Mus musculus: one gene and its partners. The protein of the gene in region 1 interacts with the protein of each later gene in a pairwise test. Links are inferred from orthologs where the notes say so. Each region holds a gene or a part of one and is shown in the gene's direction. Other genes may lie near its edges.

What was found.
Region 2: the proteins of Tnik (region 1) and Dpysl2 interact in a two-hybrid assay, tested with the Homo sapiens proteins (2 studies listed by BioGRID and IntAct). The link is inferred for Mus musculus from reciprocal best matches to the Homo sapiens genes TNIK and DPYSL2.
Region 3: the proteins of Tnik (region 1) and Myt1l interact in a two-hybrid assay, tested with the Homo sapiens proteins (2 studies listed by IntAct). The link is inferred for Mus musculus from reciprocal best matches to the Homo sapiens genes TNIK and MYT1L.
Region 4: the proteins of Tnik (region 1) and Pde4dip interact in a two-hybrid assay, tested with the Homo sapiens proteins (2 studies listed by BioGRID and IntAct). The link is inferred for Mus musculus from reciprocal best matches to the Homo sapiens genes TNIK and PDE4DIP.
Region 5: the proteins of Tnik (region 1) and Ppm1e interact in a two-hybrid assay, tested with the Homo sapiens proteins (2 studies listed by BioGRID and IntAct). The link is inferred for Mus musculus from reciprocal best matches to the Homo sapiens genes TNIK and PPM1E.
Region 6: the proteins of Tnik (region 1) and Smarce1 interact in a two-hybrid assay, tested with the Homo sapiens proteins (2 studies listed by BioGRID and IntAct). The link is inferred for Mus musculus from reciprocal best matches to the Homo sapiens genes TNIK and SMARCE1.
Region 7: the proteins of Tnik (region 1) and Trim2 interact in a two-hybrid assay, tested with the Homo sapiens proteins (2 studies listed by BioGRID and IntAct). The link is inferred for Mus musculus from reciprocal best matches to the Homo sapiens genes TNIK and TRIM2.

The regions. Positions count from the first base shown.
Region 1 is NC_000069.6:28,261,730-28,266,013, forward strand, and holds the start of Tnik (traf2 and NCK-interacting protein kinase), read left to right. Parts: upstream 1-1,484; 5' UTR 1,485-1,913; coding exon 1,914-1,970; intron 1,971-4,284. UniProt on the Homo sapiens protein: Serine/threonine kinase that acts as an essential activator of the Wnt signaling pathway. Recruited to promoters of Wnt target genes and required to activate their expression. May act by phosphorylating TCF4/TCF7L2.
Region 2 is NC_000080.6:66,827,542-66,831,041, reverse strand, and holds part of Dpysl2 (dihydropyrimidinase-related protein 2), read left to right. Parts: intron 1-1,059; coding exon 1,060-1,121; intron 1,122-1,599; coding exon 1,600-1,680; intron 1,681-2,202; coding exon 2,203-2,271; intron 2,272-3,500.
Region 3 is NC_000078.6:29,849,884-29,853,383, forward strand, and holds part of Myt1l (myelin transcription factor 1-like protein), read left to right. Parts: intron 1-1,650; coding exon 1,651-1,887; intron 1,888-3,500. UniProt on the Homo sapiens protein: Transcription factor that plays a key role in neuronal differentiation by specifically repressing expression of non-neuronal genes during neuron differentiation.
Region 4 is NC_000069.6:97,756,208-97,759,707, reverse strand, and holds part of Pde4dip (myomegalin), read left to right. Parts: intron 1-777; coding exon 778-909; intron 910-2,056; coding exon 2,057-2,176; intron 2,177-2,411; coding exon 2,412-2,504; intron 2,505-2,611; coding exon 2,612-2,824; exon of another isoform or gene 2,825-3,338; intron 3,339-3,500. UniProt on the Homo sapiens protein: Functions as an anchor sequestering components of the cAMP-dependent pathway to Golgi and/or centrosomes.
Region 5 is NC_000077.6:87,356,195-87,360,199, reverse strand, and holds the start of Ppm1e (protein phosphatase 1E), read left to right. Parts: upstream 1-1,205; 5' UTR 1,206-1,296; coding exon 1,297-1,751; exon of another isoform or gene 1,752-2,174; intron 2,175-2,306; exon of another isoform or gene 2,307-2,671; intron 2,672-4,005. UniProt on the Homo sapiens protein: Protein phosphatase that inactivates multifunctional CaM kinases such as CAMK4 and CAMK2. Dephosphorylates and inactivates PAK. May play a role in the inhibition of actin fiber stress breakdown and in morphological changes driven by TNK2/CDC42.
Region 6 is NC_000077.6:99,228,218-99,232,353, reverse strand, and holds the start of Smarce1 (SWI/SNF-related matrix-associated actin-dependent regulator of chromatin subfamily E member 1), read left to right. Parts: upstream 1-1,336; 5' UTR 1,337-1,952; intron 1,953-3,805; 5' UTR 3,806-3,850; coding exon 3,851-3,857; intron 3,858-4,035; coding exon 4,036-4,079; intron 4,080-4,136. UniProt on the Homo sapiens protein: Involved in transcriptional activation and repression of select genes by chromatin remodeling (alteration of DNA-nucleosome topology).
Region 7 is NC_000069.6:84,172,780-84,176,279, reverse strand, and holds part of Trim2 (tripartite motif-containing protein 2), read left to right. Parts: intron 1-1,086; exon of another isoform or gene 1,087-1,642; intron 1,643-3,346; coding exon 3,347-3,500. UniProt on the Homo sapiens protein: UBE2D1-dependent E3 ubiquitin-protein ligase that mediates the ubiquitination of NEFL and of phosphorylated BCL2L11. Plays a neuroprotective function. May play a role in neuronal rapid ischemic tolerance.

The DNA.
Region 1 (4,284 bases):
CACCCCAATGAGTCCAAGACTAAACAGTCCAGCTAACACTAATTTCATTAGTGTTGGTCCGTTCATTCATTCTTTCAACTTGTTCTGAAGCTCATAATTAGTTTATTCTTCATGACTTTAAAAAGAAGTGGCAACAGCCCAAGTGTTGGTGTCCATGTGTAATCTGAGTACTTGGGTGGGCGGGGGGGGGGGGGTCATTTGCAGGACAATGAGGAGTTCAAGGCCATCCCCAGCTGCACAGTGAAGGGAAGACTTCCTTTAAGTACTTAAGATCTGTCTCATAACCATACCAAATCAAACAACCAATAAGATAAATCAAAAAGAACCTCTACTCCCCCCAAAAGAAAACAAAACAAAAAGTCAAATAAAAATCAACCCCCCCCAGTATGTTTAGCTTTTTATCTCAGTAGATGCTAGAGGAACACTCAGAACTATTGATGAGTTGAAGCCAGTGGGAAGAGTTCACTATAAATGTTTTCTTCCGACGTATTTTGCGTGGCCAAACTAGGAGACAGGCAAGGATGCGAGAGGGTTGGGGAAGTGACTTTACACTTTTGATAAAGAATGACGGGTTACCACTGCAAACACCCAGCTCTTGAGTGAAAAAGCGAGCGAAGTCAAATAGCTCGCGGGTCAGGGCTCACTATCCTAGAGCCAAACTTTCTCCATGAATCCAGGTAGGTCACCGCGGAAAAGCTACAAAGGAGGAAACACTGGGTTAGGTACTATGTTGCCCAATTAATGTCGGCCTTGGAGTCACCTGAATCCTTCGAGCTACTGCACCCAGGGAGCAAGCTTCTCTTTTCAATTCGGTCATTTCCGTGGGGAATTGCGGCACGCGCAGGTCTTGGGTGTGGCGATATCCAGACAGAGCTCACATCTCTCGGATTTCCAGCTTCTAGCAAACCTACTCAGCCTAGAGAACCACAGACGATTCGGGCCTGCCTTCCTGCAACCCAGTGGCCGCGAATGACCGTGACCCTGTGGCCACTGCTCAGCACCAAAGCCAGGCTGCCGGCTCGGCGCGTGTGAGCTTCTCCCCAACTCGCTCTGCGCGGGGAGGCGGATCCCCTTCCCTGCGCACAAGTCCTTATATGCACCGGTTGCACCGGCCCGCCTTTACTCCAGCCCCACAAATAATTAATGGGGGAGGGAGGACGCTGCTGCCTTTTCCCGCTGCCTCTCCCCACCACCCTTTTCACCATTAGAGTATCTGAACGCAGTCAAGAAACCCCAAGATACGATCGAAGAGCCATTTTGGTGCACTGCACAAATTGGACACATTAAAAATATATATTCAGCATTCAGGCTCCTGCACAGAGAGGCTCAAAAACGGCTGTTTAGATTCAGCACTATTAACCCTCAAAAGCTGGGGCGGAAAGGGTGCGTACCCCTCCCCCACCCTGGCTAGTGGCGGAGGGACCCGGTCAGGAAGCGCGGCCTCTCCCCAGTCGGAGACCACGCCTCTCCCCCCCCCCCCACTCCTCCCAGGAAGCGGTGATAGACAGTTCTGTGTGGTTCTCCACCCCCACCTCCCAGCTGAGTGGAGGAGTTGATATGTCTCATTATAACAGCCAATGCAGCCGCCATCCACGCACAAGCAAAGAAGCATGTCCCATTTAAATACACCCACGCAGCCCCAGCGCCCTTAGCCGATCAGGGCGCGCAGCCCACACGCACCGCGGCTCCGGGCTTGGAGATCCGCGCAGGTCGGGCTCCGGGATCCCGCGGATCGACGCTCTCGGAAGATCGGGATCGGACTCTTGCTGGGGCCCGGGTGGGCGGGGGAGGCTGGGCCCCGGGCCTCTCTGGCGGACAGCCGCATGAGGACGCGAGCGAAATAGACCGGGGTGGAATTGCCAAGGAAGACGCTTCGGGGTGGTTTTGGTCCATTTCTCCCGCGAAGAGTCGACATGGCGAGCGACTCCCCAGCTCGCAGCCTGGATGAAATCGATCTCTCCGCCCTGAGGGTGAGCAGAACGTGTTTTTTCCTTTTTTTCCAATGGTCTAGGGCTGAAAGAGGGAACGTTCCCTGCCTTTCTGTTCTAATTCCGGGGCAGCCGAGGGGTTCTAGGCTGAGCCCCTACCCCTACAGCAGGGGCTGGGCTCCCCTTGTGCTCCTAGGCTGTTCCCGAGGTTCCGCAAGGAAGCTGGTAGAGCTTGTCAGTTTCATCTTCGATCGGTGTAAGAGCATTACATGAAAGGCTGGTGTGTGTGTGTGTGTGTGTGTGTGTGTGTGTGTGTGTGTGTGTGTGTGTACCCGGGCAACCGTCTCGTGCCAAGGCGCGAGACCCGACTGCTCCTTGCTGCAAAAGATTCTCTTGGAGAAGAAAGGCACTGGCCCTTCACGTTTGCCAGCTACCTGCAAGATGCCATCGTGAGCTAGCTGTCTCTACCAGCGGACCCTGCTGCTCCAATGGAGCAGTAATTGCTGCTCTGGGCTGGTCTTGTAGGTGCTAACTGACTCCCTTCCCGGCTTCTGTCTCCGGTGCTGGGGCTCCGGCTCAGCTCTTCCCTATATGCCAGTGTGCACTCACCTTTATCTGTGGTTTGAACTCAGCCCTGCCTATTCCTTCCCTCGGTGACTGTGACCTTTCAGTTTTATGGCTGAACTTCAGCAGGTGAAAGAGAAGCTTAACCGCTTCTCCTCACCACACCGGAACTCCCTGGAGAGATTGTGTGTGCGTGTGTGCCTGTGTGCCTGTGTGCCTGTGTGTGTGTGTGTGTGTGTGTGTGTGTGTGTGTGTGTGTGTGTGTGTGTGTGTGTCCCAGGTCTGTGAACAGTCCTTTGTAAAACATATTCCCTTCCCCGAGCCCGGCCGCTTTGCCTTTACCTAATGAAACACCTCAGACGTCGTTCCATTGTATTGAATAAGACTTTAGTGATCTAGAATCCATTTTGCTGTTGTTTGAAAATCAGACTGCCAGGAATCCCATTGCAGCCTCGACGCTTCCCCACCCCCACCTCTAATCCCAGCACACTCCTTCGGGGAAGGGGGCCGAGCGCTCTTGCCATTTTAATTAGATGCTGCCTGCCAGGAAGGGGGTGAGGAGGGGTGGTGGCCTTGGCAGCAGCAGGCATCTGAGAAAGATTGGACACCAATCTCAGTTCCACTAGTTTCTTCCTCTCCCGAACTAAAAATAAAATAAACAGCAAATGCATATGCTTGATGCCTGGAGGGTAGGTGAGACCTAAGAGATGGTGTCTCATCTCATGTCACCCACCGCCAGTAGGGGTGGAAGTTCAGTGGTTCTCCGGAACACATTGTTAGATTGATGCTAGAATCTTGAGGCCGTTTACCTGTGTCTACTAAAGCCTTCCTGCCCTTACATTTCTCTACAAATATTTTAAGGGGCTAGATACCTGTCTGATGGAGGTGATACTTTTTCTTCAGGCTCCACGAGTCTCTTTTCTTCCCTCTCCTTGAATCCTTGCCCCTTCCCATATCTTTTGGTAGAGAGAGAGAGGTGACAATTCAGAGAGACAACTCGAAGGTTGAGGACTGACTGCCCTATGAAACGGCCTGTTGTGCTAGTGGGGCAGCAGAAGCTCATTCATGCATGATTACAGTAAGCTGTCTGTTTTTCTGGTGCCCAAAGGCCACATTCAGAACCAGTGAGTAGCTAAGTGTGGGGGTTGGGAGCAGAGTGGGTGCTTTAAACAAGCGCGGCTTCCTCTTCACCCATGGTGTGTGCTCTACTTCTGTCTGGGAGTTGCTATGGTGTGAGTTAATCAGGTGGACCAGACTTGGAGAAGGAGGAGTGGCTAAGAGGTGGAGGCCTGAACAATGAGGCAGCCTTGTGATATAGCTGAGCAGGAATCTTAGCATCCTTCTCCCTGATATGATTTTTAAGTTGGGGGGCTGGGAGGAGGGGACTAGCTCCTGTGGGCAAGGTTTTCTGAGATACCAAGCACAGAGCACCTTGATGCATACTTGAGGAAACTCCCGGGCTCTGCTATGTGTATGTGGAACAGATATCTTTGTATGATTTACTGAGATTGCTCTTTGTCACCCAAGAAGCCCAATGAATTCTCTGCCTGCACTGGTGTGTGCAAAGAGCTAGGATAACAGCTACTCCCAGTGTCTGGGGGAGCTATTGGCTGGAAGACTTACATGCAGATGGGCAGACAGTTGTACTCAGCAGGCCTGGGAGCGTCAGGCAGTCTTGTGGTAGGCTAGGTGTGCAGGTCCGTTTGTCTCCGAGGGCCAGTAGGTGATGCCCACAAATGGAAGCGTAGATGGTGGCTGCCTTCCCAGATTTGGAGAGGTTGGTTCCTAAGCT
Region 2 (3,500 bases), on another chromosome or scaffold:
ACACCCATACAAATACACACACATACACACACACACACACACACACACACACACACCCGCGCGCACGCACTACCACTCTCTACATTTAGGATACTTCATCTTGCCAAAATGAAGATCCATCTCCATAATTGCTCCTTCCCCTTCCTCCAGCCCAGGTATCCCCATCCTACCCTCTCTCTGTGACACTGACAGCTCTCTGTGACACTGGCCTGTCCCGTGTCCCTCCCGTCCATGGGGTTTTTCAGCACCCATCTTTTGATACTGCTGTTTTCACTCAGCAGGATGGCTTCTGTGTTTGCTCCCATTGTCCCATACAGCCAAATGTCCTTTGTCAGACCGAATGGTGTTCCAGCTTACACAGAGACTGTTTGGTGATGCTGACACAGTGATGCTGAGACGGTGACACTGATGCTCACTGGCTGGTGGGGGTGGGGCTTCCACTTCCAATCGTTGTGAGTTATGTTACTACAGACAGGAGTCAGTAGTGTTATGTAGCTACAGACTGCAAGCTTTTAATTTTGATAGACCTGTGAAGTTCTCAAACAGGAAAGTCAGAACTGCAAAAACAATTTCCAGAAACCCTGGTCCTAGCTTCCCATTTGCTTTGTCATTCTGCCTGCCTGTCTGCCTGTCTGTCTGTAGCCTGTCTTTCTGTCTCTGTCATGCTTTTCCTCTTTCATTCTGTGGTACTGGAGATTAAATCCAGGACTTCATGGTGCCAGGCGAGCACTCTACGCTGAGCGCTATATTGAGCACTTTCTAGTTTGTGTTTTCTGAGACAGGGTCTCTCTCTCTAAACTTTACACGACCTTGAACTCACCCTGTAGCTCAGACAGGCCTTGAACATGTGATCCTCCCGCTTCAGTAGCTGGGATGACAGGCATGTGGCTGTGCTGTTGTACTCAGGCTCTCCATCTCCTTCTCTCTTCTTTTGTCCCCTCAACACCCGCTCCCCTGCACAGATGTGCACAGGTCCACACACACGTGTGAACAGATTGTTTGCTCTGAGTTTATGTATTGAAAGTCACGTGTCTGCTTCTCTTCTTTGTCTGTCACCAGGGGTAAACTCCTTCCTCGTGTACATGGCTTTCAAAGATCGATTCCAGCTGACGGATTCCCAGGTAAGAAAGCCAACTTTTCTGAGTAGGTTCCTGATGTTCTGTTTAGTTTGGTTATGGCTGCCATCTGGGGAAACATTTCTTCCGCGTGTGTATATAGCTCACTCATAGCTTGATGGGATATGGGTGGCAGGTTTGGAGTTTAATGAAGTTAGCCTTTGATGGGGTCTTGCCCTTCTAAACTCTCATATCAAACCGTAACCTCTAATCAGGATACTGTGTGGCCTAGTGGTAGTGCTGAGAGTCTTGGTCACACCTGGTGCAGAGCTGGGTGTCATCTCCTGCATTTCACACTTCACCCCTGTCCTTTTGGTTGGGCTGCCTCTCTGACTCTCAGAGTGGCCAGAAGGCAGTCCCCTTGAGCCTATTGCCAAGCCAAGCCTGTCACAGCAGCCTGGGTGCCATTTCAACCCAGGGGATGATTTCCTTTGACCAGAAACTTGCAGGTTTGGGTCTCTGAGTTCGTTCCCTTCTTCCTCAGATCTATGAAGTGCTGAGCGTGATCCGGGATATCGGTGCCATAGCTCAAGTCCACGCAGAGAATGGTGACATCATTGCTGAGGTAAGGGACCCATCCTTTCATATTTTCTTCCTCTCCTGGAAAGCAAGCTCAAGAGTGTAGGACAGCTTTTGAAGCTGGACCACCAGTGTGAAAATCCAGAGGGCCGTATGGTCTGGTACAAAGGCTCTTCGGGGACTTTCTGCTAGTGTTTGGTAAGGCATATTGCTTATTTCCATTATAGAAAGGCCCCTTCTTTTGGCACTGCAGTGTAGCTGTTCTGGATGGAGTCAAGGAACACCGTAGTCACACTTGGATACCATCATATTACTGTGCTGTGGGCCAAGAGTGGCTGTCAGCTTCCCTGGGGATGCTGAACATATTGAGGGGCTCTAGAGGATCTGTCTTGCTCAAGTGGGATTGGAATTAGTATAGTGATGCCTCTTTCTGAGGTCTGGCATGACACCCGGTATCCAGCAGGGCCCACTGAACTTCTTGCTAGGGAGCTTTTTTGCCCAGGTCTCTTGGCATCCGCCACCTGAAACCCACCTTCTCTGACCACTCGGCTTTCTATGCACATTACAGGAACAGCAGAGGATCCTGGATCTGGGCATCACGGGCCCCGAGGGACACGTGTTGAGCCGGCCAGAGGAGGTGAATATCTGGGACTGGGATGTGCGACATGATGTCTCGTAGATTCTGTGCAGGGCCTCTCCTCCACCCCTGTACCTGTTGAAAGTGGGGCTTTTTGGATGTGCTTTGGTCTTTCAAAGAAATGCGTGTGCATGTGCATGCATGTACATACCCATTTGCAGTACCGCCAGTCCCTTAAACATAGGATGGAACCACAGAGTTCCTTTACACCTCTAAAACGCACATGATGAGTCATTGCTGAGTGCAGCACACTCAGTAGGGCCTGGTGGATAGAACCATTGGGAGCCGTAAACAGGATTAGCCCAGGCTGAGAAGCACAAGGTTATCACACTGGACCGTGGAGCCTGTAGGTCAGAAGGCTGCAGGTATCATATCCGTGCTTTTTCAGAGGCTGGTCCTTCAGTATAGGAAAAGGTCTGTAGAACGGCAGGCAGTCTTACAGCTCTGAGGGGCAGAGGAGGATGGAGGAGTTCAGCAAGGAACAGTCTAGACTGCAAAGATTGCAGGCAAGGGGAGACCCTCAGGGACCTGGGCGGATGGAGGTTCAACATTTAAGGTGTCCCTTCCAAAAACAGGACAGAGGGGGATGTTTGGTAAGTGGCCTGCGAAGGAGATGGGGCCACTAGATCCCAGGGCTTGGCAGAACAAAGTGTGGGAACAGGAAGGATGCCCACAGGAGCTAGCTCTCAGGGACCCACTGTTCTGGTTAACCCTTTACGCAGAAAAGTTACACCCATGCGTACGTGGCTCAGCACAGGGCCTCCTCTTTGGCCATTGTCTCACAGAATTAGAGCACTGAGTGACCAGTTCTGGACATCCTGAGGCTCAGCAGGGCTTAGGAGCATGGTGGGAGGAGCCTAACTTAACGCCAGGCACTGAGTTTGATAAGGCTCTTGAGTAATTTTGCCCCATGTCAGTCCTATGGGTGGGAGGAATCGAGGGAAGGAGGGAGGGAGGGAGGGAAGGAGGGAGGGAGGGAGGGAGGGAGGGAGGCAGGCAGGCAGGCAGGAAGGAAGAAAGGAAGAATAAGATTTCGAGCCCTTCACCCTTGCTGTTCTTCCTGATGGTGGCTGTTTCTTCTGTCAAGCTGAGTCTTTTGTGTTTTAAACTCTTGAGGGGGCGACACAGAGAATCAAACATGGAACCACTCTGAATGGACTTGGCCATACAGCCCACTTTAGGAAGAGACCCCCCAGCACATAGGAGGCAACACTAATGTTTTAACTTTG
Region 3 (3,500 bases), on another chromosome or scaffold:
TGGCAGCACTCAGGGAATGGTGTCTATTGTTCTTCATCTGTTAGAAGAAATTGTATTTATCATGAAAATTACTTATTATTTTTTATTTTGAGATTATAATACACCTAGATCCATTTCTCCTATTAAGCTATTACTTACATGTATGTATGAATGTGGAGAGAAGCATGGTTCATCTATGGAGATCAGAGAGTAGCCAGCAGAGGCTCTCTCCTTCCACCACGTGGGCACTCTGCCCACTGCAGCTCTGGCACCCAGAGCAGAAGAAGAAGCCATTAGCATGGGTAGGGAAGAGAGTGAGCAGGCTCTGCAGGGCTCTAGGCAGGAAGCAGTGTGTCAGAAAGTGCAGCCTGTGCACTTACCTGTGCCACCTGCCCTCTGTAACTGAAGGTTCTAGGTGCTGGCAGTGGTTGTCATAAATCATTGTGATTTATGCGATCAGAGGAAGGCCGCTCGGTCACATTCAGCTTTTATTCCTTTGATGGTTTTACTCCACGGTAGTGGGATAGTGTCAGGAGACATGCATTCTTCATGGACCTCTGGGCTACTGAAGGCTAGTGCAGAAGCAAGCCATCGCTGTGAAAGAATAGAGATAGGCATCTCCACCAGGGTTGTTTGGTTTTTCCTTTTTTAAGAAGAATACTAAGATTAGGATAATGGCTTCAATATGATGTGGTCTAAATTAGTAGCAAAGCTTGAAATCTGGCCTGCTTTGACAGAGTTCTGTCACAGCAGCACTGAAAAATATATGAAAGTGCAGCTTGTCCTGTGTGCCCGTTACCTTCCCAACCAGAGGGACAGGTGGCTAGACATCAGAGGCCACAGGGTCATTCAGGTTAGAGGTCACTCTCCTGAGAAAATCAAGGTTTATTTTGACATTGCTTGTTCACTGCCATCTAAATGCCTTCGCCCCTCTGCCAGCAAAGCTGACTGATGACCTTGGCCTATTAAAAGGCATGCGCGTGAGTGTGTGTGTGTGTGTGTGTGTGTGTGTGTGTGTGTGTGTGTGTGTGTGTGTGTGTGTTTGTGGGGTCTTTTTGTTTTTTACCTATTTGACACAGTAGCAGATATGGAGATATCCAGGTCAGCTCAGTCCAGAATCTCCAAAATAGGGCCTTGGGAAACTATACTGCATACCAACAGTTCTAAAATGGAAATCTGGCCCCGGATTCCATCTCAGAAGGAAAATTCTCGTACCTTCTCCATCCCTTCTTCAACATTCAAGTCCTTTTCTTTTCCCCCATTCTGAAATTATTATCATCAACAGAATGCCAGGAAGATAGTTAAGCTGCTGTATGATGGAAGGATAGAGGTGGACAGTGGATGGATGGGGGAAGGACCAATGAGTACATTGCTGAAGTGGTGATGGACGAGGGAAATTGGGTGGGTGGATAGATGGATGGCTAATAGATGGATGGATGGATGGATGGATGGATGGATGGATGGATGGATGGATGGATGAGTGACTCTTCCAAGCAATCTCTCAGGTAGGCCTGGGTAGCGAGCTTGCCTGCGGATGGTGATAGTCCACCTGGGAGTTACTGAGGGAGCAATAGTGGGTGATAAACTCAGTCTTAGCTAATGGTCATCCTTAGTCAGGGAAGGATGGGAAGGCAGTCAGGCCCTCTGGGTTAGACATCTTTCTTTCAACAGAACCCAGACATGGAGGTGGATGAGAATGGCACCCTGGACCTGAGCATGAACAAGCAGAGGCCTCGAGACAGCTGCTGCCCAGTCCTGACACCCCTGGAACCCATGTCTCCGCAGCAGCAGGCCGTGATGAGCAGCCGATGCTTCCAGCTGAGCGAGGGGGATTGCTGGGACTTGCCTGTAGACTACACCAAAATGAAGCCTCGGAGGGTAGATGAGGATGAGCCCAAAGAGATTACCGTAAGGAATTGTGATGTGAGAGTACCTTCTCCTTGCCCCTGCATGTATTTGTTAGGAGCCAAGAGAGGCCTTAAGGAATAAGAGTCATTTTCACACTCTTCAAAAGAAAATGCGTTTTCTTCCTAAATTTGATGCTTAGCTGACAAGGACTCAGAGAACAGTTTTGGTTGATTCAGGGGAGATATACAACTGATATTGATTTGAGAGAAACAGACTATGGACTGTTTCAGACTTTATTTTCTAATAAATATGTATAATTACAAGTTGTTTCTCTAGGAAATTAAAGAAAGGATCATATTATTTTATTTTCAACAAATCAATACTGTATTTTTATGATAAAGTATAGGTAGGAGTTTTGGTGGCACATGCCTGTAACCCCAGTGTACAGGCAGTATAGGTAGGAGGGTCCAGAGTTCTAGGCCAACTTGAGCTATATAGTGAGACCCAATTGCATTTAAAATAAGTACTTATTAGTGTGTGCTACAAATAAGCTCAAGCACTTAGACTGTACTTCTTGTATAATACATCTTAGTACAGTCATCTGATTCTTTGTTTATGGCAGTATTTTTAAAATGCCTATGTTAAAGTATATATTTTAGTTTGGGTTTTTAAATTAGTTTACTTATGCAATAGAGTACCACTTGATCTAAAAGATATTCTTTCTTGGTGTGCTTGTGCTTATGGGTATTAATGTATGGGGGTACCCACATTCACAAATCAGAGAAGGCTGTCTTCCTATGGCCCTCTCCGCCTTATGTCTCTAGACAGCAGGGCCTCACGGAGCTCACTGTCTAATGAGACTGACTTGCCAGTAGACTCTTGTGCTTCTTTTTCCTTTCCCAATACTGACGCTAACAATACCCACACCACATCCAACTTCTTACATCGATGTTGGGAATTCAAACTTTGGTCCTTGTGTTTGCAAGGCAAGCATTCTTACCCATCAGCCATCTCCCCGGCCCCAAGAACTTCTTTTCTTCTTCTTTTTTTTTTTTTTTGGTGTTTTGTTTTTTGTTTTGTTTTGTTTTGTTTTGTTTCTCTGTATAGCTCTGGCTGTCCTGGAACTCACTTTGTAGACCAGGATGGCCTTGAACTCAGAAATCTGCCTGCCTCTGCCTCCCGAGTGCTGGGATTAAAATTGTGTGCCACCATGCCCGACTAAGAACCTCTTTTCTTTACTTTAGACCTTTTTCAATGCTCAACTCTGAAAGTTCTCATATTTATCCATTGTAAAAAAGAAAAAAAAAAGAATAAAATCAGAGTAGAATTTGGAGCCCTCATCAGACTAACAATGACTTAGAGTGGGAAAGGGACTGGTGACAGGTCTTGCATTGAGCCTTTTTTGGGTTTTCGTACTGTGTAGTCCTGTTTGATCTCAAAGTTACAGTGATCCCTGCCTTGTCACCACACCCCACCCCCAATGCTAGATATAGAGATATGTGCTGCCTCACTCAGCGTAGGCGCAGTCTACCCTTGTTCCTCTTCAGTTGCTGTCATAAAACAACATGGCCAAGGCAACTTAAAATTGGAAGGGTTTAATTGGGTGTACAGTTTCAGAGCATTAGAGTCCACAGTGGCAGAAAGAAGGCATGGCAGCATGCTAAGAGCTCACA
Region 4 (3,500 bases), about 69 Mb from region 1:
TTTATTTTGATTAATTTTGGTTTATAGAGACAATTGAGAAGAAAAAAGTTCAAAAACCTCCCATTCTTCTGCACCCATCCCTCTGGATTACGGAGGGCTGCTATTTTCATTACATTTTGCCTTTTTACTCCTTCTCTGTGTCTGGCTACATTAATAATAATAATAATAATAGCTATTATTATTATTATTTTAAAAGCTTCCAAACAAGTAATTTACTCTAGATACATCCACATGTATTTCTTAAGGACAAGGACTTCTCTTATCAACTGCAGTACAAGCTAAGGAAATGTGTACTGCAGAAATGCTGTTCCCTAATGTTGAACTCATTCAAAAAATAAAGTTTGCCAGGTTTTCCAGTAACACAAATAGGCCTGGTAATTGGAATATGACTTTGATCCTTTGATACCTTCATTCATCTCATGGTTAAACATAGACTGAAGCAAATATGTGGTTGTAGCCATATTCTTTAGTAAGTCCCCCTTGTCTTTAAATTCTGAGTCACTCGCTTTATCTGACAGAGTAGCGTAGGGTTTGTGTGAACGGGTGGGGAATGTCAAGGATGGAGGGAAGTAGCTCCTATGGAAGTAGCACATAGGGACATCTGTGAAGTGGTACTCCTAGCACGTAGCAGGACTGTCTGCTGGAAGTCACCTCATCATTTGTGCCGCAGCTATGGTTTCCAGCTTTCTGAAAAAGGAGGCCCAGTTTGAACATGAAAATCAAATGGCTTATTGGCTGCGTTTACTCAGTGTGCTTGTCTGCCCTGCTGCCTTCTAGCCCGTGCCTAAAGGGTTACCCACGCAACAGAAGCCGGACTTGCATGAGACCCCTACAACCCAGCCACCTGTGTCTGAGTCCCACCTGGCAGAACTCCAGGACAAAATCCAGCAAACAGAGGCCACCAACAAGGTACATCAGGACTCGCTCTAGTCCCGCTTCATCATCCTGAGTCTGTGTTAGAGTCTGAGAGATGAACGCTGGGCCATCCCTTGTTCTCTACAGAATGGCCAATTTAGAAGTATAATTCTATACTTTTATCGTTATTTCCTTTATTGTATGTGTGAGCTGCGTGTGTGTGTATGTGTGTGTGTGTGTGTGTGTGTGTGTGTGTGTGTGTGTGTGTACTACAGCTCAGTCTCAGGAATTGCTCCTCATGAGGTATCTATCTACCTTGGAGTACTTTTGGAGACCATCTTTCACTAGGACCCAGGGCTTAAAAATGAGGCTAGCCAGAGATGCATCTGTTTCCACACTCCCAGAGCTAGGATTCTAAGCACACACCTCTAAGTCTGGCTTTTTATGTGGCTGCTGGGGATTCAACTCAGGTCCTCTTCTCTCTGTTTCTTATCAGGATTTTAGTTTGTCCCACATATACAACATTTCCTGATGCCTTTTGGGAATGAGATCAGATCTCCATGTAATCTTTAACTCTACAGTAAAGCTCTGATGCAAGAAATTTGTGCTTTAATTTTTTTGTTTTGTTTTGTTTTGTTTGTTTTTTTTTTGTTTTTTCGAGACAGGGTTTCTCTGTAGCCCTGGATGTCCTGGAACTCACTCTGTAGACCAGACTGGCCTCGAACTCAGAAATCCGCCTGCCTCTGCCTCCCAAGTGCTGGGATTAAAGGCGTGCGCCACCACGCCCCGCTTTAAATTTTTGTATATCTTCTTACCCTTGTTAGCTCATGGATTTTAATGTCTGTTTTCAAGGCACTTGTCCCAAGGGGGCTCTTGAATATCTGGTCAAGTGTGCTCTTATAATAGCCTTTCCTGTACTAGATAGCAGGCACTCCTTGGTCATATGGGAGAGTCAAGAGAATACGCTGGCTGTTGACATAAAGAACGTGTGCAGTGCATGAGAACTGAGGTATCTGCGCATTGAGGGAAGCAGTGCACATCTGCTGCCTCTCTTCATAGTCTGATGGTTACAGTGCACGGGAAAGGAGTAAGGCGGTATGCCCTAAGTTGTTCTTTAAACCCGAAACGCACAGGACAGTGTGATGGCCCTCGAGGTTAAAAGTCATCATGGAGCTAACAGGACTTTCTCTGCTGAATTCAGATTCTTCAAGAGAAACTGAATGACCTGAGCTGTGAGCTGAAATCTGCACAGGAGTCATCTCAGAAGCAAGATACGACAATCCAGAGCCTCAAGGAAATGCTTAAAAGCAGGGAAAGTGAGGTGAGAGGCTACGTGGTCACAGACCTGTGGGGAGACGGGTCACGCTGGTGACGTAGATAAGTGCTCTCTATTTGTAGATGTCACTATTGTCAGGCCAGCAAATCTTTCTATGGGAAATTGTCCGCTAAGTAGGTGCTTTGGAAAGCTCCTGTCCCTAACATCTGCACAGGAGAGAGAAGGACTTTCCGAGTCGTTGGCTAACCTTAGCACGCTATCCTCCTCCTCTCATTTCCAGACTGAGGAGCTGTACCAGGTGATCGAAGGACAAAATGACACAATGGCAAAGCTTCGGGAAATGCTGCACCAGAGCCAGCTCGGACAGCTCCACGTACGTGAGGGCCACAGGCAGGAATGGGGCCGCCCTGGCTGCCCGGGTCTCCCGGGGGCTCCGTGCTTCCCTCCCTGTGACTGTGATTGTGATTCTCCTCTTTTCAGAGCTCAGAGGGCATTGCCCCTGCTCAGCAACAGGTAGCCCTGCTTGACCTTCAGAGCGCTCTATTCTGCAGCCAGCTTGAAATACAGAGGCTCCAGAGGCTGGTCCGGCAGAAAGAACGCCAGCTGGCGGATGGCAAGCGATGTGTGCAGTTAGTGGAGGCTGCAGCCCAGGAGAGAGAGCACCAGAAGGAAGCTGCTTGGAAACATAACCAGGTAAATCATTAACCGTTCTCTTGCTCCCAGCGCTGACTTTGCCCCACCATGACTTGTGAGCAGGACAGTTTGTGCCCAACCTAAACCCTTGCATCGTTGGCCTACCCAGTGTGGTCAGTGTTTGTTGCCCCCAGAGGTCATGCACCAGATGAGCAGACTGTGTCCTGGAAGTACAAAGGTAGATATCAGACTCTGCCTTTTTATTTCTACTTTAGCAGGAGAGGCAGTCACACGACAGATGTTAATAGGATAAATACTCCCAAAGGGTCTGGCTTATGTTCCCATAGCTATGTCCAGGAGGGTCGGAGGAAAGAAGTCAGAGTGCTTACGCCTCGTGCAGGAGGAGATCGCTGAGGTTATAAGGATAAAGTCAGCTGAGGCCGATGAGGTAGCTCAACAAGTGAAAAATGCTTGACTCACAAGCGTTTCCGCCCCAGAACTATGCCGGAAGGAGAGAACCACTTCCTGAAAGTTGTCCTTTGACCCCCACGCGGGCGTACCTGCACTCATATAAGTAAGACACACACCAATAAATAAGTAAATACATAGATTAATTAAATTGAAAAAGTCATTGAGTAAAGTAGAGAAGGGCATGTCCATGCATAATTAGTCATATAATTTAAATGTATGTAGCATTATACAGTCCTTAAATAGTCCTCTATCTTGTTAGCATGGA
Region 5 (4,005 bases), on another chromosome or scaffold:
TCAAAGCACCCACCACCAACATCATCACCATGAAGCCTGAAAATAATAGGTTTGTTTATAGTTTGGTAAGAAAATTAGAATAATTTAAAGTCATTTCAGTTCTAGCTTGGGGGAGGGAGTAAGAAGAGACACAGGAGGTGGTGGGGAAGAACAAACAAAATATAGACAAAATACGGATTATATGGTAGGATAATATAATATAATGACATGCATTATACAGAAACTAAGCAGGGGTTTTTGGGTGATGGAAAACTTACAAGTGAAATCTACCACTTCAATCTCGGATTGAATTCTTGTTGCATCGCTTGCTTTTGACCTTGAGCAAAGTCACTGTTTTGAAGGCTTGTTTCCTCATCTGTAAAACAGAATCCTAACGGTAATAACCTTTGCCTTAAAAGGCTGTGAGGATTAGAGACGAACACGTGTAAACTGCAAAGCCCTATATAAATAAGACATTGTGTAGATACGAGGCACAGCTAGATTTTCATAGAGCAGAGTTAAGGGGAAAGATTCTAAAGGCTTTGGAGACTTTGAAAGGGGCTCTAACACCAATGCCACAGCTAGAAAGTCTTGACTTTTAAGCAAGCGAATTACTGTTTAATTTCTCACGTTCATCTTTTTGAGAAAGGAGGATACATAGAATCAAACGAAAGAACCTAGACAAAGGAAACTACCCTTTTTGGGTGCTCGTGCCTGGACCTTTACTTTTTCAACACATATCATTAGTAAAAGGTGTTTACTGCGTGCCATCGGATCAAGAGATATACTACGGCAAGGCAAGCAGATAAGGAAACTGAAGTCAGTACACTCCTGGTGGAACCAACAGAGATGTCTCAGTGCTTATCATGAAACTAGGGTCTTCACCCCACAAAGACCATTCGAAGTTGGAGTGCAGGAGTCCAGCGTCCTTACCACTCCACAGACTCGACGGGAGGGACCTTGGAATTCTTAATTAGAACCGGTTGCCATGGCGACAGTCTCTAGGCAGCGTGGGCTGAGCTCTCGGTAGGGATTGCGGGTGGGCCGCCGCTGGACCCTGTGCGCGCGCCCGCCACCAACTTTCCCTCCAGACCGGAGCGGGGTGGCGCGCTCCGCCCCCGCCCCCGGGCCGCGCACGTCCGAGCTCGGTGGCGCGCACGCCTGCGGGAGCCCTCTCCAGGCAACCCAGTGCTGATCGCCGGTGCCCGTGCGGCCGTTCCCCCTCCGTAGCGGGAGGCGAGGCTCCGAAGCAGCCCCCTCCTCCTCCTGGGCTCACCTCCCACCCCCTTCCCGGTGGACCTCGGGGCATGAGCAACGATGGCGGGCTGCATCCCTGAGGAGAAAACTTACCGGCGCTTCCTGGAGCTGTTCCTGGGCGAGTTCCGCGGACCGTGCGGTGGCGGCGAGCCAGAGCCCGAACCCGAATCCGAGCCCGAGCCCGAGCCCGAAGCCGAGCTAGTCGCGGCTGAGGCGGCCGAGGCTTCGGGGGAGGAACCGGGGGAGGACGCTGCGACGGTAGAGGCGACCGAGGAGGGGGAGCAGGACCAAGACCCCGAGCCCGAAGACGAGGCGGTGGAGGAGGAGACGGCGACGGAGGGCGAGGAGGAGGAAGAGGAGGAAGCGGCTGCCCCGGGGCACTCGGCCGTGCCGCCACCGCCGCAGCCCCAGCTGCCACCGCTGCCCCCGCTCCCACGGCCGCTGTCGGAGCGCATCACCCGAGAGGAGGTGGAGGGCGAGAGCCTGGACCTGTGCCTGCAGCAGCTCTACAAATAGTTAAGTAGCGGGGCTCGGCCGCGGGTGGGCCGCCATCCCCGGGGTGCCGGCCTGGGTTCCCGTCCCCGCTACCCATGTCCCCGCGGGGCACCCGGGCGGGGTCCCCCCCGCCTGCCCCCGGCCCCTCTTCGCTGGCCCTCTCGGCCAGCTTCTCGGCCACTTCGCACACCTTCCTCCAGAACCTTCCTGCCAAGGTCTTCCCTCCCGTCTTGGGCTCCCCATTCTTCCCTGCGCCTTTCTTCCCGGGGTTTCCTCCCACCTTCGTCTGTCTGTCCTTTCCCGGGCTGCGTTCCTTGTTGGGCGGTGGGGACGCGCGACTCCTTTACAGGCAGTAAGAGGTGCCTTTCTACATAACCGCAACAAAGCTAATACCGTCGGTGCCCAGAGGAGCCCAGACCCCTAGATTTTCCGTCAGGCGCTCACTGTTGAAATGAAAAGGCTCTATAGATGGCTTTCTTACGTGAGAGCCTAGTATCATACTTTGCAGACATTTGACAGCATATAATTGAGAGCGGTAGGGAGGAATTGGGAAGGAAGGGTAAGTAAAACCCTACCGAGCAAGCCGTTAGGTGAAAAGACGAGGTCGTAAGTCAGAAAAGTCAGCCTGGTTGGATAAAATTGCAATTAAGTGCAGTATTTTCAGTCCATTAAGTAGATGGGGTGGGAGGTGGGAGAAAAGCAGATGGCTTAGCTACCCAGATGCAAGTCTAAAATAGAAAGGTCAAGGCTTTGCCTTTCATCCGAGTTCTGCTTTTTATGGGCTTGAAATAGAAACGGTTTACAATCGCGTTTCTTTCCAAATGGAATTGTTCTGAAATAATGCCTCTGCAAACACTGGGAAACCCGAGAGTCTTTTGCCATTCAGCTAATAGTTGTAATGAAAGGTGTTACTCTGACCACCCCAAAAGTTTACTATCGCAAGATTCACTGCGGCTAAGTTCAAACCCACTTCCTGGATTTCTCCAAAGCCTGGAGGGGGCTAGAAAAGAAAGCTATTTTGTCTTCATCAGACCTCATAGACAACTGATCAAACCATTCTCCTGTTAAAAGCAGCAGCCTGTCAAAGGGAAAAGCCACTGAGCAGATCTGTAGAATTGGACTGTGCGGATGCCACACTTTATAAACCATCCAGTAATTAATTTTAAAATACTGTTCAATTACCAGGGGAATTGTGTGTTTTGGGGAAATGCAAAAATAAAATGGCGTGTAATACCACCACCTGGGGATAAACAGCATTAATGGTTGAGTATTTCTTTTTTTTTTTTTTTAACTATCACAGAAAAGGACCTACAGAATGCCATTTTAAAAAAATTACATGATTCAGACACTTAAATATAGTGGAAGTATTTACCAAAGTGAAGGGATTTATCTCAGACTAGTACTATCTGGACAGTTTTTACCCTTACACATATGCTCCCAGAACAATTTAAGGATTAGGGACGCTCCCATACTGCCATTAATGTAGTACAGTCTGAACATTTCAAGGCTTTTAAAACTGAGATGCACAGAATGAAATGGTAAGATGTGGGTGTTTTTTTATTTTTAATGTGATAAGGAAACAAGATTAATCAAAATGTACATATCAATTAGAAAAATGATTACGATGAGAAGGTGATTGCCAATGAAGCACAGAAGTTTGTGTTTGAGTTAAAACTAGCAAAATTACAGCTAGAAAATATTATTTCCCCTTAAATTGGACACTTATACTCTGACTTCACATAATATCAGACTTTGTACTGTATTTTATTCTGATGCTAGTCGAGATAAAATGGCTGGCTCGTTTATGTGATGTATCTTTAAGGTTTTTAGTGGGTGTAAAAGTTTCAAAATGAAAAAAATGTTTCAAAATGTGTAATGACATTTTTAGTTTTTATTTTATTCCAAAAAAAAACACCAGATAAAAGCCGGGCGTGGTGGCGCACGCCTTTAATCCCAGCACCCGGGAGGCAGAGGCAGGCGGATTTCTGAGTTCAAGGCCAGCCTGGTCTACAGAGTGAGTTCCAGGACACCCAGGGCTACACAGAGAAACCCTGTCTCGAAAAACCAAAAACCAAAAAAAAAAAAAAAAAAAAAAAAAAAGACTTAGGAGAATCAGGATCAGCCAACTGTAGTGTTCGGCCATTGTTTTGTTCAAGCTCTTCATTTTACATGTGAGGCCTCTATCCAGATTTGGAAAAAAAACCAAAAAGCAAAAAACGAGTCTTGTAGAAATGATTCCAACATTTCCTGGCTTAATCTCCGACTCTCAAAACA
Region 6 (4,136 bases), on another chromosome or scaffold:
CAGCACTCGGGAGGCAGAGGCAGGCAGATTTCTGAGTTCGAGGACAGCCTGGTCTACAGAATGAGTTCCAGGACAGCCAGGGCTACACAAAGAAACCCTGTCTCGGAAAACCAAAAAAAAAAGAAAAAAGGAAAGGAAAGAAAAGTGCTGCAGGACCTGTTCGGGACCCTGGATTCAATCCCTAGCGCCTCACAGAAGTAAAAAGAACAAGAAAGAATGCCATGCCGCTGTCCACTTAGAACTCAATCAATTCCCCTTTTTTAAGCCAATTTTGTGCCAGCCCTTTCCCACCACAGCATGCAGACACCGCTGAGTTTCAGAGAACTAACTGCCCAGCTGGGAATGGCACCTTGCAGCATGCATGCGCGTGCACACATGCTCCGGAGCACTGTGCCTGTACCCCCTTTTCCACCATTCCATAGTCCTTGCTAAGACCGGGAAGTAACAAGGCTGGAATTACTGGGCAGAGGAAGAAGCCACTGGATCCCTGCTGTAATTGTGTGGATCCTACATTCACCTTCTCTATGCTCTTTGTGTTAAAAAAAAAACATTTTCAGATCATTCCCTTATGCTATGCATTCATCTGAAAACAAAACAAAACAAACCTCTCCTTTAGTCTTTCCTTACAATACCGGTTCATTTCGATAATTTCACCAGAGTATGAAAATATTGGGCGATGGAAGAACTGGACAGTATTATCACTTATCACTTCTAAAGATACCTCACTTCCTGTTGTCACAACCAGGATAAGGGCCAACAGGTAGTCCCAGCATTCAGCCAGTTTCTCTAGATGCTAACATTGACCTTAGATAACCACAGATGCTCTGTTCATTTTTCCTCCACCGTGACGTGACCCACACTAGCCAAGTGTTCTCTACTTTGTATAATCCGCCAAAGTATTCGTTAATTAGTTTAAAAAAAAAATAGCCCTGGAATGGTCCAGAAAGGTGGCTCCACGCACACTCACTGAACAATTACATGTCTAGCCCTTAGAAATCATTGGTAATTATGAAATTGTCCGGTCCAGATGCCTAAAACTTTGTTTTCAAGACTTTCCAAGATAGCAGATGGCCCAATCCCATATAGAGGGTATCAGATACAGGACCGGCTTGGGAAAGTTCCAGGAGGGCATCACAAAGAAACACTGAACTGTTTAAAGACAAGCGAGGCTGAGCTGAACTGGCCCTCCTGGGAAGGGATGTGAATTGTCACAGGTATGCCAGCTGGAAGGAGTGAGCTGACATCTGAGGACCCTAGGCGCAGAAACCCGCCGCCATCACTCGACCTCTAGAAACATCTGGGAAAACTACAAAACTCCCGTGTTGCTTTTCGCTTAGGCGGAGGCAGGGGAGCCCCGCTGGGCGCCAGCAAGGACCTAAACGCAGCGACCCGGGTCCTCCCCGCCTACATTCTCCATCTTCTCCATTCATACGTCCATCAGCGGAGGACTGAAGACCAGAGCGAAGGGAAAAGCCAGAGTGCATGGTGTGTGGGAACTGCGTCCCACCCTCTCCCGGGAGAGGCTCCGGCGAGCCTTTCCCCTCCGGCGCCCGCCTCACGCGGCGGCGCCCACCGCCTCAGTGAAGCCCCGGGCGCGCAGTCTGCGCAGTTCCTGCCGCCGGGCCGCGAACCAGGGCCCGCAACGCGGCCCAGCCTTCTCCGCCCTCCTCGCCGTGACGAATCGGCGCCCGACTGGGACGGGATCCAAATTGGAAGACTTCTGAGGAAACCCAGGAGCCTGACGAAATTTTTTTTAAAAATCCTTGGCGCCCTAAGCCTCGCCGCGTGCTCACTGGAAGGGCTGTTCGTCTGCCGGGAGCCGGCCGCGGCCGGCAGACAATTCCCGGGAGCGTGTGGAAAGTGCGAGCGCGGAAGCTCCGGCGCGAGGGGCGGGGCGAGCGCGGGACAAAGGGAAGCGAAGCCGGAGCTGCGGGCGCCTGCTCGGCCCGCGGGTGAGTGTTTCCCAGTGGGCCCAACCCGGTCGGGGAAGGGTGGCGAGCGGTGGTGTTTCTGCTTGGCGGGACCCCGAGCTCCCGCGGGGTGCTGGGGTTCGGCCTCGGCTGCGAGGCGGGAGCTAGAGCCGGTGCGGCCTCGGTGAGGCCTAGCGGCGGCGGGGCAACCCCGTCCGGAACAGCTCCTCGGAGGCGCCGGTAGTCCCTTTCCGCGGGACTCCCGACGCCGGTGAGCACCAATGCACAACCCCCTGCAGGGGAGTTTCCAGAAAAGCTCGCCCTCCGCCCGCCACAAAACTCCAGGGAAAGGATCTCCGGAAACCCTCTGGGCAAGGCCAGCGGGGATCCTCACCCACCACGAAGGTGGTCGTCCCCCCCCCCCTTTGTTTATTTTTATTTTTTATTTGGTTCAGGCAGCGACTTAAGGATTCCCGGGGTGGCCTGGAGTGAAGTCTGAGACGGTGTGGGTTGGGTTTAAACCCATCTCTGACAATTCCGGGTCTCTGGCCTTAGACACTTAATCGCCCCGAGACTGTTTTCTTCCTTTGTAAAATGGGGACAGTCATACGCATCGGGTAGGGTCGTTGTGACTAGTGAGTAAGACTGTGTTATAAGCCTGACCAGTAAGGTAATTAATTCAATAAATACAGAGTTGCGTCCCAGGCACAATGGTTAGATCCACTCACTACTAGAGTTTATATGCTTAGCCCGGGAGAGCAATCATTTGTAAGTATTAGCAGTGAAGTGTAAGGTACCAGGGACCCTGTCACAGTTTCTGTCGGGGCTCCCCACAGCAAGGCCTACTGGGTGTTGATGGAAGGAAAAAAAGAGATGAATTGAAAAAACTTAGCTATTTCCACATCAGAAACTCTTACCTTGATGATTTGAGGCACTTCCTTAAAATGAAAACTAGGAGAAAAAAAAGTGTATTCACCATCCTTCTAAAAATAAGTTTTCATCTCTTATGCATTACCATTTGTGGTCTATGTTGAGTAAGGAACAAGCTCAGATATGTCCATGTTTCGAGCTGGCCATACTAGGACCAAATTTATGAAGACTTGAGCTATGTTTGAATAATACAGTAATAAATTAGACCATCCCTCCTCTCTTGCAAGGCAAAACCTAGCACATTCACATGTTGTTGGAGGGAAAGTGCCGCTGGTCTTTGTAAGCCATGTAGGAATACAGAGACGAGATATAATTTATTCTGTCCCGATGATGTATCAAGAAAGTACCTGAGATAATTTCTGAAATGAGCTGTAAAGGAACAACATGTGTCCTGTAAGTAGCCTCAGAAAATTGTTCCCGGCTCTTATGAAACTATTTACCAACAAAAGAGAATGTAAAGTTTGTTATCATACTGACTTACCTTTCACACTGCCTCCAGGAATAAGACATGACTCTGTTTCAATGAAAGATGTTCCCTAAATAAGGCAGAGCTTCTAATCAGGGGTTGTCAGTATCTGGTAGGCCTTGTTGGGGTCACCCGGATAATACATCACATTCTATTGTCATTATTTTTTTTTATCAGTCTAAGTAATCGTTTGCATGGCATCAGCAAAATGTTTTCCATACAAGACGCTGCTCTCAGTATCATAAGCAAAAACCTAAAAATCCATCTCTAATATAACTCTAAATTTCCCAGTAATTTATTTTCATCATTTAATTCTGATCAATCAAATGAATGTAAGAACTAGTTAAAAATATGCAAAAGGCTTGATTACTAGCAATTAATAGTGAAGTAATTTTGCTCAGAAATACCAAACTACCCTATTCTTTAGGAAAACATTCTCTTATGCTTGCTGAGTTTTGATTCTCTTTTTTTTTCTTTTTTTTCTTTTTTTTTATTTTAGTGTCTCAGATTCATTCTTAAGGAACTGAGAACTTAATCTTCCAAAATGTCAAGTAAGTTTCAATTTTTATATTTATCAATCTGTGTTAATACGAGACTAATGCCCTAGCAAATGGGAATTCCAAAATACTCTCATTTTTTTTTTTCTTCAAAGCAGGACCATTGGTAGTTTTGTTGCATAGTATTATATCTCAGTTGTTTACAAGAAGTTATTTATTTTCTTTCAAACAGAAAGACCATCTTATGCCCCACCTCCCACCCCAGCTCCTGCAACAGTAAGTTTTAATTTTCTTGTTAATGTAATAGCCAAGTCTGGCCTTGATACAAAAACC
Region 7 (3,500 bases), about 56 Mb from region 1:
CTGAATTTTTACATGGGCCTCATCTAAGAAATGTTTTTCTCCATGCCTCTTGTGATCATTTGCATAACATAAAGTTTGTGTGAGCAGCTGAGACTTGGGCTTCATGGCTGAATGAAGGTGTTTAGTTGCCACCACATTACTTCCTTCTCTGAGGGTTTGGGGTGTGTTTTCCTAATTCATTCTGGAACCTTTCTCATTGATCGAAGGCACTGGAAGGCTTTAGGTTGTCATGGTTACCTCATGGTATTTACAAGATGGCATTTATGAGATGAGATGGGTTTTACATTTTTTTTTTTTTTTACTCTCAGATTAGAGCCCTTGCTTTATGTGAGGCAGTACCTTTTCAATCTAAGAAAATAAAGGGCTGTCTCCTTTAACAGTGTGATAGTGCATCTTTTTGTTCCGCTAGAACCTGACAGCTCCATATAACGGCCACAGGTACAGGAAGCTCTCATGTTCTGTATCTTCCAACACCCAACCGTGACAACTCTGGTAGGAACACGGAGAAAAACTGTTTGCTGTCCTCTAGAAGAACTCTAGTTTGGAGACAACCTGCTTATGCTTGTCTTAGACTTTGGCCAAAAAAAAAAAAAAAAAAAAAAAATTAGCCATCTGTACCTTTGGGAGCAAATACAACAGCAAGCAGCTTTTGCATATTGAGCAAGAGTTTGCTAGCTGAGAGAGAGAATGGCTCCCTGAATGACATATTTTACACTCATGACTTGATAGTTCCATACACATAATAAATACTTGGAAGAACTGAAATCCTAAAGTTGGGCTCTGTTGGTCACAAGTGCTGTAGACACTGTGGAGTGCAAAGACCTTGGAGCACTCCTGCCCCCCAGAGGATGGAGAAGGATATTGCCTGTTGCAGCAAGAACCTCGTTAGGATAGATGTTGGTTAGACCCCATTAAGGTAAAAAGAGCATATGAGAGCACTCGAGTACTGTAAAAAGTTCACCCAGGTGTGCAGGCTACAATTGAGTATCAGAAGATTGCTGCTTTGCTCTTTTAATGAGACAGTGAACGCAACAGTGCAGCTGACTTCTCTTTTACCCCAACATGGTCTTTTTTTATATATATATATAATTTCTGAAAGCTTTTAATTTATTCCCTCCCAAAAGAACAATTGTAATCAAAGGGGTTGAATGGTCAAGATTTTATTGTCTTCATAACAAAATCGGCTTAGAACTGGATCACTTGGCCCTTTCTCTTCTTGTCGCCTCCCAATTCAAAATGCTCGCATCTCTTCCTAGCCAGCATCCTCTTAGATCTGCAGTTGGGCTCTACGCTCTCTAGTCTCAGCACAATTTTCTTTGTAGTTTTAGCCTTTTTGCGGAAAATAGGCTTAGTCTGCCCACCATAGCCACTCTGTTTCCTGTCATAGCGCCGCTTTCCCTGGGCATACAAAGAGTCCTTGCCCTTCTTATACTGTGTCACCTTGTGGGATTGGTGCTTCCCACATTTCTTGCAGAATGTCTGGCGGGTCTTAGGCACGTTCACCATGTTCGCAGGAGCACTATCAGCTTGGAAAGAGAGATGCTAGAGCAGCAATGGAAGTTTATAGGAGATCCAACATGGTCTTTATACTTGCTCCTGACCATCTCAGATGTGTAGCATCTTTACTACCGTTTTTTATAGACATCTGGTGTGTAGTCGAGTAGTCATCCTCCCCTGCCTCCTTTTATGTCTTCCCTTTCATCTTCCCTCATGGCTTATATCTTCCAGACCAGCTGGGAACCTTTTGTAATCAGAAAAACATTAAAATTAAAAAAAAAAACCATATACATATGAAACACAAACATGGCGACCTTTATGGCTACTATTCTAAAATGTCTCAACGTTTCCCTCTTCAGCATGAAAGCTGTTTGTTGAGTTAAATGCTCTTGTTTAACTGTCTCCAACATATCTGAAATATGTTTCTTACTAGTCTAAGATAGTGGGGGTAACACGGTGAGGCCAAATGTGTGGCTTCTTATTTCACTTTGTAGAATTCAGTGCTTCTGAAGTGGACACAATAGTGGAGGGAGAAAGCAACATTGTTTTTCAGCTTTAAGTTGTGCTTGTAGATCTGCCCTAGCCGGCATCCGGGCATCCTGTAGTAGAACTAAGATAATCCTTTGGCTTCTGTTTTCATTCTAGATAATTATCCACTTGGTATCATATGGTTGAGTCATTCTGAGTAACTACTGATGTTTGTAACGTTAAGTAGTAGTGTATTAGGCGGTTAATGAGCGGAGCGCCAGCTCTCCTTTTGATCTCTCGTGATACCTTCCTTTTAGACTTGAAAGAGGTTAGCGATTTCCTTACATGCCATTATGTTAGAGCCTCTTTGATCCGTGGGCTTCATTGCAGCATCAGAATCAAACTTGCACAAGAGATTCCCTGGCCTAAGACAAGATGTTTCCCTTTCTATGTAATTGTGTCTCTCTGCTTGAAGGCAATCACACCTGAATCTCCGTCATTTGTAGACTTAAAAGAATAAAGAGTCACACAAGAAGTTCTACTTGGAGAAACTCCATCTGCATTAGGAAATGAAGAGTACATATGTGGGAGGTTGGAGAGATTGTCCAGTGGATGAAGCTTTTGTTGATTTTGTAGAGAAGCCAGCACCCACGTTTGTAGCTCACAACCATCTGTAATTCCAGTTCCAGGGGATTCGATGTCTTCTTCCGACCTCTAAGTTCACCAAGCACACACATGATACCCAGACATACACATAGGCAAAATACTCATGCACATAAAGTAATATAAATAACTCTAAAAAATTAAAATGTATATCTGTAGCTCACAGATTTCTATCTGCCAGTGCTAATATGGTAGGAGAGGGCTTCATAGCAGAATGTATGAAACGTAATTAGTGGGGATTAGTTTTTAATTTAAAAGCTCATACAAATAGGCTTTAAAAATACGTGAAAAGTATAAAATAAAAGGTAAACATTCCTTTTGCCACCACTGACGCTCCACTTCCTAGGCTACAGAGTCTGGTGTCTAGCGTTTCTTCCCGGAACTCCAGTTTGCCCAGGATTTTAGTGCTGAGTATGAAATGTAGTTTCCGGTGTGCTCAAAGCAAGTGACAGGCAGGAGCAAGATCTCTCTCTAGACCTTGTACTCTTTCATCAAGTGTCTGTTTAGAAGGGCACTGTGGTCCAAATTTGGTGGCAAATGCCTTAAAAATAAAGCTTTTATATAAATGTCTGTAGCAGATGCTGAATATGGTAGAGCCATTTTTCTGGGACAGAGATAACATTTCAGCCAATGTTTTCCTAAGACAACTAACTAGCTTCAGGTTGGTTTCTGGAATGCTTTGAACTTTGATGTATATTTCTGTACTTGCTTCTAACAGACAAAAATTGGATCAGGAAAACTGATGGGGCCCAAAGGAGTTTCTGTGGACCGCAATGGGCACATTATTGTGGTGGACAACAAGGCGTGCTGTGTGTTTATCTTCCAGCCCAACGGGAAAATAGTCACCAGGTTTGGTAGCCGAGGAAACGGGG